Linked DNA regions of Saccharomyces cerevisiae S288C. Changing the gene in region 1 together with any one later gene gives a genetic interaction. Each region holds a gene or a part of one and is shown on either strand. Other genes may lie near its edges. The genes, in order: FPT1 and EGH1.

Region 1 (3,640 bases):
TTAGTGTTGTGTTCGTTAACCATTGACGTTGAGAAATCGGAGCTTGAGGATTGAGTGCTTGAGGCGGTAGATTGAGTGGTGGTAGCGGTGGTTGGGCTAGCAGTAGTAGTTGGACTAGCGGTAGTAGTTGGGCTAGTGGTAGTGGTTGGGCTAGTGGTAGTGGTTGTTGGAGTAGTTGTGCTGGTAGGTTGTGTTGAAGATGTTAAAGTTGTGGTTACATCATCCTGTGTGGCACTTGCGGAGGTTTGCACCGCTTGTATGGTTGCAGTTGCTGTAGAAAATGCTTCAGATGTTTCTGTAGAGGATTCTTCAAATGTTGCAGATTCAGCCACGACAGCGCTTTCTTGGATAACGGAAGTAGCTATGCTGTCCACTTGAGCATTAGCAACCACAATAGGAGCTGATGTTGTGGCAACGGGACTAGCAGAAGCCGTTTGAGTGCCCTTGGTAATGAACGTCGTTAGAGTCTGGCCATTTTCTACACGAACTATACCTTGTACCACTACAGTGGCAGCTTGGTGGACATGTTGCGTGACAGTCACAGCAACTGGGGCAGATAAAGCGACAGATGCAGATGCGGCCAGTAGTGAGACTTTAGAAAATTTCATCTTTGTAAGTTTTATTAAAGGAATGGTATTGTTTTATGATGGGCTGTTTCGAGGAACGATGATACCAAGAGCCAACAGATCCATCACAGCAATATGTAACACTCTGCGACAAGCATATATATATACAAAGATCAAAAGCATTGCCTTTGAACGACGTCTATGTTTCAAAAACATTACATATAGAGAAGTGCGTGAGATACACGAAATGTACTGTAAATAGCACACATGTTTATTCCCGCTATAGGAAAGATGATCTATGGGCAGATCTCTCATTCGTTTCATAACGGGGTCCATTTCAGTGATGCGTTTTCTTTTTTTACACCTTTTCACGAGGCCGGCTCGATTTCATTTGGCATTTCGCGAATGTCGCCGCGAAAGTCTCGCGATCGATCGAGATGATGGCGCAGTGCAGTGCAGTCTATGTGATGAACAAAGACGTTCTCGAAGCACATCGCCAGGGTGCGGAGAACCGCTAAGACCCAGATGAGAGATCTCTGCAGAATTGCCAAGAATGCGCATGGACGTGAGCACAGGATGATAGTGAAAGAGGCGAGCTGAGCTTCGTTTTGCTCGAGGCTAGAACGACCCGAAACTGCCGCTTAATGATATGCTTTCTTTTACCCAATGCAGAACTAGAATGCGTGAGCGGGACTAGGAAACGTTCATAGCTAGCCCAAAAAAAAAAAAAAAAAAAAAAGAATCCAGTAATGGTAGAATTTTGATCTACAGTATGACGAAGAAGGTCGAGCCAGTTGGTCAAGAATTATAGCTCGCTCTCGAATAGCGTTATTTTGTCATCAAGTAATCACCACTGATAACATGAAAGTGGCCATCCATTCCACTTTCTGTTTTCTTTCTATTGAGTGGTCAGTTAATGTGCTACTTCGCTGAAAACTTCCTTGTTTTAGCATGTGGCATTCTCAGTGTACATAATGATTTATAGCTCAAAGGCTTTTAATGTTTAGGTAGTTACAGACCTTTTGCCGCCGTGAATTTTTGACGTCTTGTAGTGCTGTGATATAATTGGACTATAAATCATTACCCGGCCTTTTAAGGCATGAGTGGCGTTCCAACGTGCTGTCAAAACTATGAGACCAAAAACCAAAACACACCCCTAAGAAATGTATAGGGATTTATATCAGCATAAAGGTGCCATAATTAAAGAGATTTAGCCTGAACCCATTACTATTCTGTTACAGTTAAGTACTCATACAGACAGCTAGAAAAAGAAGAAGAAATACCAAGTACAAAGAAAGGAAACCATGTCCAAGTTAGAAACCGTTTACTTATACGCTGGTGAAGAACAACCACGTGTTAAATTGACCTGTATTAAGGAAGGTCTCACTTTAACTCAGGTTATCAAGTTCGTGCATTCTATTCAAGAATTGTACGGGATTGAGTTGCAAACTTCTGAGACCATAACAGAAAATTTGAAGATAGATTGTGCACCCGCATATTTGAAGCCGAATTGTATTCCCCATTTCTACATTCTCGAATATGAAGAAATAAGTGACACCTTTTTCATTTGGAAATCTGATGGTCGTTGGCAATTAAATAAGTTGTCTGCCTTGTTGTACGTGGATAACGACGCTAACGTGGTTAAGAACACTTCCTGGAAGGAGGTTTTCCAGAATGATCAACGATTTAAAAATTATGATAAACGGGCCTGGTTACAAAATTGTCTAGAAAAAATGAATAGAGATCTCTCAAAACTAAACGTTGAACAATTTTGGTCTCAATATGATAAAATATGTCAAAGCATTGCCAAACAAAAGAAAAAACAGGAACAGTTCAACATGGAGGTTTTCGATAACTTCAAAAATATTGTTTCTATTGCTATCATAAAGACCAAAGTTTTATCGAATAAGCGACTTTTGACAACAACTTTAAAAAATTATCATAACTCGATGAAGAAAAAGTATAACATCCAGGAACAAAATCTTAAGGAAAATAGTTTGGCATCGTGCTCAAACAATGAGCCTTCCGCATCTCTGGAAAGCGAATCAAGACATTTTTCTCCGGTAAATTCGCTGTCTCCTTCATCTTTGAGTACCGATGATGAGGCTGTCTCGACAGACTACATCTATAAAGGTCCTGAGTCTAAACCAAACGTGAATTTCATGCATTCAAGTGCTACAAACGATCTGATCAAGTCAAATTTTGAAAGCTATTTTAAATTGATGGCCGAAGACTATGAAACTTTTGACTTGAGAGCCTGGTCGAGACAAAGACCTCGAAAATTTCAGCTTGTGGAAAAAAAAAAAATCACTAAAAACCCTCCTAATAGCCATCATCCGCATAAAAATGGCAAAATATCATTTTAACTATTTCCGGGAAAACATGTCTTTTTATAGCATCTACATCCATTAAATCAAGAGAATAAAAGTAAAACTCCAAAAGTATGTACGTATATAGAACCAATTATTCAATCATTTATAGAAATGTGACCTGTTTTTTCTCTACTATTGTTACATAGGCATCACGAAAAAAAGTCGCATTATACGATACTGTTATATAATTTTTTTCATATTCTTCAGATCTCAAATGCAAGATGGTCCTAATTTGTTTGTTTGTTTATTTATTAGTTTCGCTGAAGAAGGAAAACAAGTCATTTTTGGTTAGCTACCCAATTATACAAGCATTCAATAAATACGCCAATCTTTTGCCACATTTCTTATAATATCCTTTGCCCTCCTTGGTGTTTGGTTCAAATAAGTAAATGATAAAAATGTGGAGGTTACAGATTGTACTGGTGCCGCCAAGTGCTCAAGATATTATCACATTTCTCGAAGCACGCTTGAATACTCCACAATCAGTGTCTCCTATGGTCCAGTATAATGAAGATATAATTACGCACAACAACAGTATCAATAACTGTAGCGACCCCTCTCCTACGAGCCCGTCTTCGCAAAATTCTATTCAGTCGAATCGTAGTAGTGATTTCATTAACTACCTCCCGAATTGTAAAAAGTTTTTACATTTTACGGACGGTGACAATACCCTTTTACAACTATCTAATGAAATTTTAACTA
Region 2 (4,726 bases), on another chromosome or scaffold:
GGCGTCAATAAAACTTGAAACTTCGTTTTTTGTCTTAGAATCCAATTCGTAAGGGATAGTGTCACCTTGTAAGACATCATTGATCAAATGCATTGCTAATGCAAATTCAGGAAACAGTAACTCACCTGCTTTTGATGTATCACAAAGCGTCCAAATTCTTGCGAGTTGAGAAGGTGGCAAACCGGATCTCATCAAAATTTTCCTACAATTAGCACCGGAAACAGTATTCGAACCATTGGTAACAATTGATCTGAATAGAGTCTCAAATTTTGCCTGATCTTGGGCAGTAATAAACGACAATCTAATGGCAGGGATTTTGATATCATTGTTTAGACCGTTGTTGGCAAATGAGTTGACAAAGCCAGTTGCGGTGGGCTTTAATGGTTCTAAGGGAGCTTGGTTTTGCGGTTGAAGGTAAAATCCTGTTTGCTGCGGCTTCAAAGGTTGCAAGGACTGTGCTTGCTGAGGAGGTGGCACCTGTTGAGGTTGAGATTGATAATAACCAGTGCCCTGGGCCTGAAGGGGCTGCTGGGTTTGATTAGAAGAGATCAAATTGGGTGTAGACACATAATATCCTGTCCCTTGAGATTGCAAAGGTTGTACTGAGTGTACATTTGCAGTATTAGCAGCTTGGTAATAGCCTGTTCCTTGGGGTTGTATGGATTGTAGCTGAGGCTGTTGAGCCGGATTAGGTGGAGGCATGGTGCCAGTAGTATTCATCATAGGCATACTGGAATTTGGTACGTATCCCGTATGCTGCGGTTTCGCCTGCTGTTGTTGCTGCTGGGGTTGTTGGCCAAAATTACCATTACCATATACACTACCATTATTTCCATTATTATTGTAACCCGTTTGGGGCTGCTGTGGCATACTTGAGAAAGAATTACCAAAACTTTGAGGCATCCCACCAATTCCGGTAGCCTGAGGCTGGTTAAACGCCATTTGCTGTTGTGGTTGAGGCTGGCCTTGGGGCTGGTTTGAAGACTGACCTTGCTGCTGCTGCGGGTAGAATCCATTTGGTTGTTGCTGCTGTTGCTGCTGTTGCTGCTGGTAACCCATGCCCTGTTGCTGGTACGGGTTATACATATTCAGTTGTACAGATTAGCAATTTCGCGTCGCTGATAGATTCTTCCTCTTCCTGCTTCTCGACGTGTGTTTCGCCAATAGATCTATATGGCTTTCTAATGCTTTTTTTCTTCCAATACCAACTTTTGCCCCTAACAAGAAAAAAATATCGTCGACGTGTCATGTGATCAAGCCAATTTATAATAACAAGCGATTGATAAACAGAGTATACATAGCTACTATGCGACTGAGAGATCAATCGGTTATCGTGAGCACCTACCTTTAAGGTTTAACAGATCTGGACGTGATTTTTTTTTTTTTTTTTTGACGAACCAGATTGTCAAATAAACATTGTTAATTGATGAATTTTTAATATCTGCCCAATTGAAGCATAAAAAGCGTCTTAGGAAAGCATTCGTTAAATATCTCTACTGTTGGTAAGCAGGTACTTCAGTAAAAAACCATATTAAACCCAAAATTATCAAATTAGTAGTACATAAGATCGAAGTAGAAAAAATATAGATTATAATCCGATATAGTGTAACGGCTATCACATCACGCTTTCACCGTGGAGACCGGGGTTCGACTCCCCGTATCGGAGTATGTTTATTTTATTTTTTTCATATCCGCTCGAATATTGCCTTCGTTTAAGGTTTCTATATCTCTGGTAAACCTTAACAATGGAATTAATATTAATTCTATATTTCGCAATAATTCTACTGACAGTTATTTTCTTAACCTTTCTTCTCTTTTTTTATTTATTTATTTCTTTTTCTTTCGTACCTAAATTGTTTGAATTTAATAAGAACAGATCATATGCCTGCCAAAATACACATTTCTGCAGACGGTCAGTTTTGCGATAAAGATGGCAACGAGATCCAATTGCGTGGTGTCAATTTGGATCCGTCAGTTAAAATCCCTGCAAAGCCATTCCTATCCACCCACGCTCCCATAGAAAATGACACGTTTTTCGAGGATGCTGATAAAGTCAGTTTCATCAATCACCCCTTAGTTCTTGATGATATCGAACAGCATATCATCAGATTGAAATCACTGGGTTACAATACCATTCGTTTACCCTTCACCTGGGAATCTCTTGAACATGCTGGTCCAGGACAGTACGATTTTGACTATATGGATTATATCGTCGAGGTACTAACCAGGATTAACAGCGTACAACAAGGTATGTACATTTATTTGGACCCTCACCAAGACGTCTGGTCTAGGTTTAGCGGTGGATCTGGAGCACCGCTATGGACCTTATACTGTGCAGGGTTTCAACCTGCAAACTTCCTGGCCACCGATGCTGCAATCTTACATAATTATTATATTGACCCCAAAACGGGCAGGGAAGTTGGCAAAGATGAAGAGTCCTACCCTAAGATGGTTTGGCCTACAAACTACTTCAAACTGGCGTGTCAAACAATGTTTACGTTATTCTTTGGTGGGAAACAATATGCTCCTAAGTGCACAATTAATGGAGAAAACATACAGGATTACTTGCAAGGAAGGTTTAATGATGCAATCATGACACTGTGCGCAAGAATTAAAGAAAAGGCTCCTGAGTTGTTTGAGAGCAACTGCATTATTGGATTAGAGTCTATGAACGAGCCAAACTGTGGTTACATTGGTGAAACAAATCTCGATGTGATTCCGAAAGAGAGAAATTTGAAATTGGGCAAAACGCCAACGGCATTTCAAAGCTTTATGCTGGGTGAAGGTATTGAGTGCACAATAGATCAATATAAAAGGACATTTTTTGGATTTTCTAAGGGAAAACCGTGCACAATCAATCCCAAAGGCAAAAAAGCTTGGCTGAGTGCAGAGGAAAGAGATGCGATAGATGCGAAGTATAATTGGGAAAGGAACCCTGAATGGAAACCAGACACTTGCATTTGGAAACTCCATGGTGTTTGGGAGATTCAGAATGGTAAACGCCCTGTTTTACTCAAACCAAATTACTTTAGCCAACCTGATGCAACGGTATTTATAAACAATCATTTTGTTGACTATTACACTGGAATTTATAACAAGTTTAGGGAATTCGATCAAGAATTGTTTATTATAATCCAACCGCCGGTAATGAAGCCACCACCCAATTTACAAAATTCTAAAATATTGGACAATAGGACGATTTGTGCATGTCATTTTTATGATGGTATGACACTAATGTATAAGACATGGAATAAACGAATTGGCATAGACACCTATGGACTAGTAAACAAAAAATACTCAAATCCTGCCTTTGCTGTAGTGCTTGGCGAAAACAATATACGGAAATGCATTAGGAAGCAATTATCAGAAATGCAAAAGGACGCTAAATCCATGCTTGGAAAAAAAGTACCTGTATTCTTCACCGAAATTGGTATTCCATTTGACATGGACGACAAGAAAGCATATATTACAAATGACTATTCTTCACAGACCGCTGCATTGGATGCTCTTGGATTTGCATTAGAAGGAAGTAATCTTTCGTACACCTTATGGTGTTATTGCAGTATTAATTCACATATATGGGGTGACAATTGGAACAATGAAGATTTTTCGATTTGGTCCCCGGATGACAAACCACTCTATCACGATACCCGAGCAAAAACTCCTACTCCTGAGCCATCTCCAGCCTCTACTGTGGCTTCGGTATCCACTTCTACATCTAAATCGGGTTCTTCACAACCACCAAGTTTCATAAAACCAGATAATCATTTAGATTTGGATAGTCCCTCGTGCACTTTAAAGAGCGACTTGTCAGGGTTCAGAGCTCTTGATGCTATAATGAGACCATTCCCCATACAAATTCACGGAAGATTTGAGTTTGCTGAGTTTAACTTATGTAATAAATCCTACCTTTTGAAATTAGTTGGTAAAACGACACCTGAACAGATAACTGTCCCTACATATATTTTTATACCACGGCACCATTTTACACCAAGCCGGTTGTCAATTCGTTCATCATCAGGTCATTATACCTATAACACTGACTACCAGGTTCTTGAATGGTTTCACGAGCCTGGCCATCAGTTCATTGAAATTTGCGCAAAATCGAAGTCAAGGCCCAACACCCCTGGAAGTGACACTTCGAATGACTTACCAGCGGAATGCGTTATCAGCTAAACAAAAATTGAACCAAAAGCTATAGTAGTCATATATATATATATACACCCTTTTTATTGTTACAAAAAGATTTCACCATCAGAAATCTAAAGAAGCCGGTTCATCATCATCTTCACGTTCTCTTTTCACTGAACCCAGTTCATTTTTCAAAAGAGAACTCACATATGCTTGGAACTGATTGATAAAAGGTTGTAAAGCTGTTAATGAAACATCATTATTTTTCTCCATTTCTGTTTGAAGATCAATTAGCTTAGGTGCTTTTTCAGGTGCAAAGGATTCATCAATAGGCACACAGACATTCCCCGTAGCAGGATGAATACAAAAAGGGGCCTTTAACAAATGAATTGTTTGCTTTGTAACTTCCACATCCAGCTTCGGATAAAGAGTCATCAATACGAGATCTTCCTTACATTCACGTAACTTAATTATGTGAGAGTCTTGCTTGGGGCCTTTGAAGAGCGATGTAGCTATCTGATCTATATCATTCCACTTCTCTTTGCTTGACCTCCTTGGATTGTCCAGCCAATACTTCTTTAATGAATCAATCAAT

Evidence for each region.
Region 2: mutations in FPT1 (region 1) and EGH1 together harm fitness more than expected from each alone (negative genetic interaction), as found in Saccharomyces cerevisiae (one large-scale study listed by BioGRID).

Annotation. Positions count from the first base shown.
Region 1 is NC_001143.9:460,927-464,566, reverse strand, and holds FPT1 (chromatin-associated RNAPIII regulator FPT1), read left to right. Parts: upstream 1-1,870; coding exon 1,871-2,932; downstream 2,933-3,640. Other genes in the region: PRY2 (sterol-binding protein), read right to left, coding at 1-608; TOF2 (Tof2p), read left to right, coding at 3,328-3,640.
Region 2 is NC_001141.2:368,823-373,548, forward strand, and holds EGH1 (hydrolase), read left to right. Parts: upstream 1-1,881; coding exon 1,882-4,176; downstream 4,177-4,726. Other genes in the region: actin cytoskeleton-regulatory complex protein PAN1, read right to left, coding at 1-1,086; DNA primase subunit PRI1, read right to left, coding at 4,255-4,726. UniProt on the Saccharomyces cerevisiae protein: Ergosteryl beta-glucosidase involved in the ergosteryl beta-glucoside (EG) catabolic pathway and vacuole formation via hydrolysis of EG to generate glucose.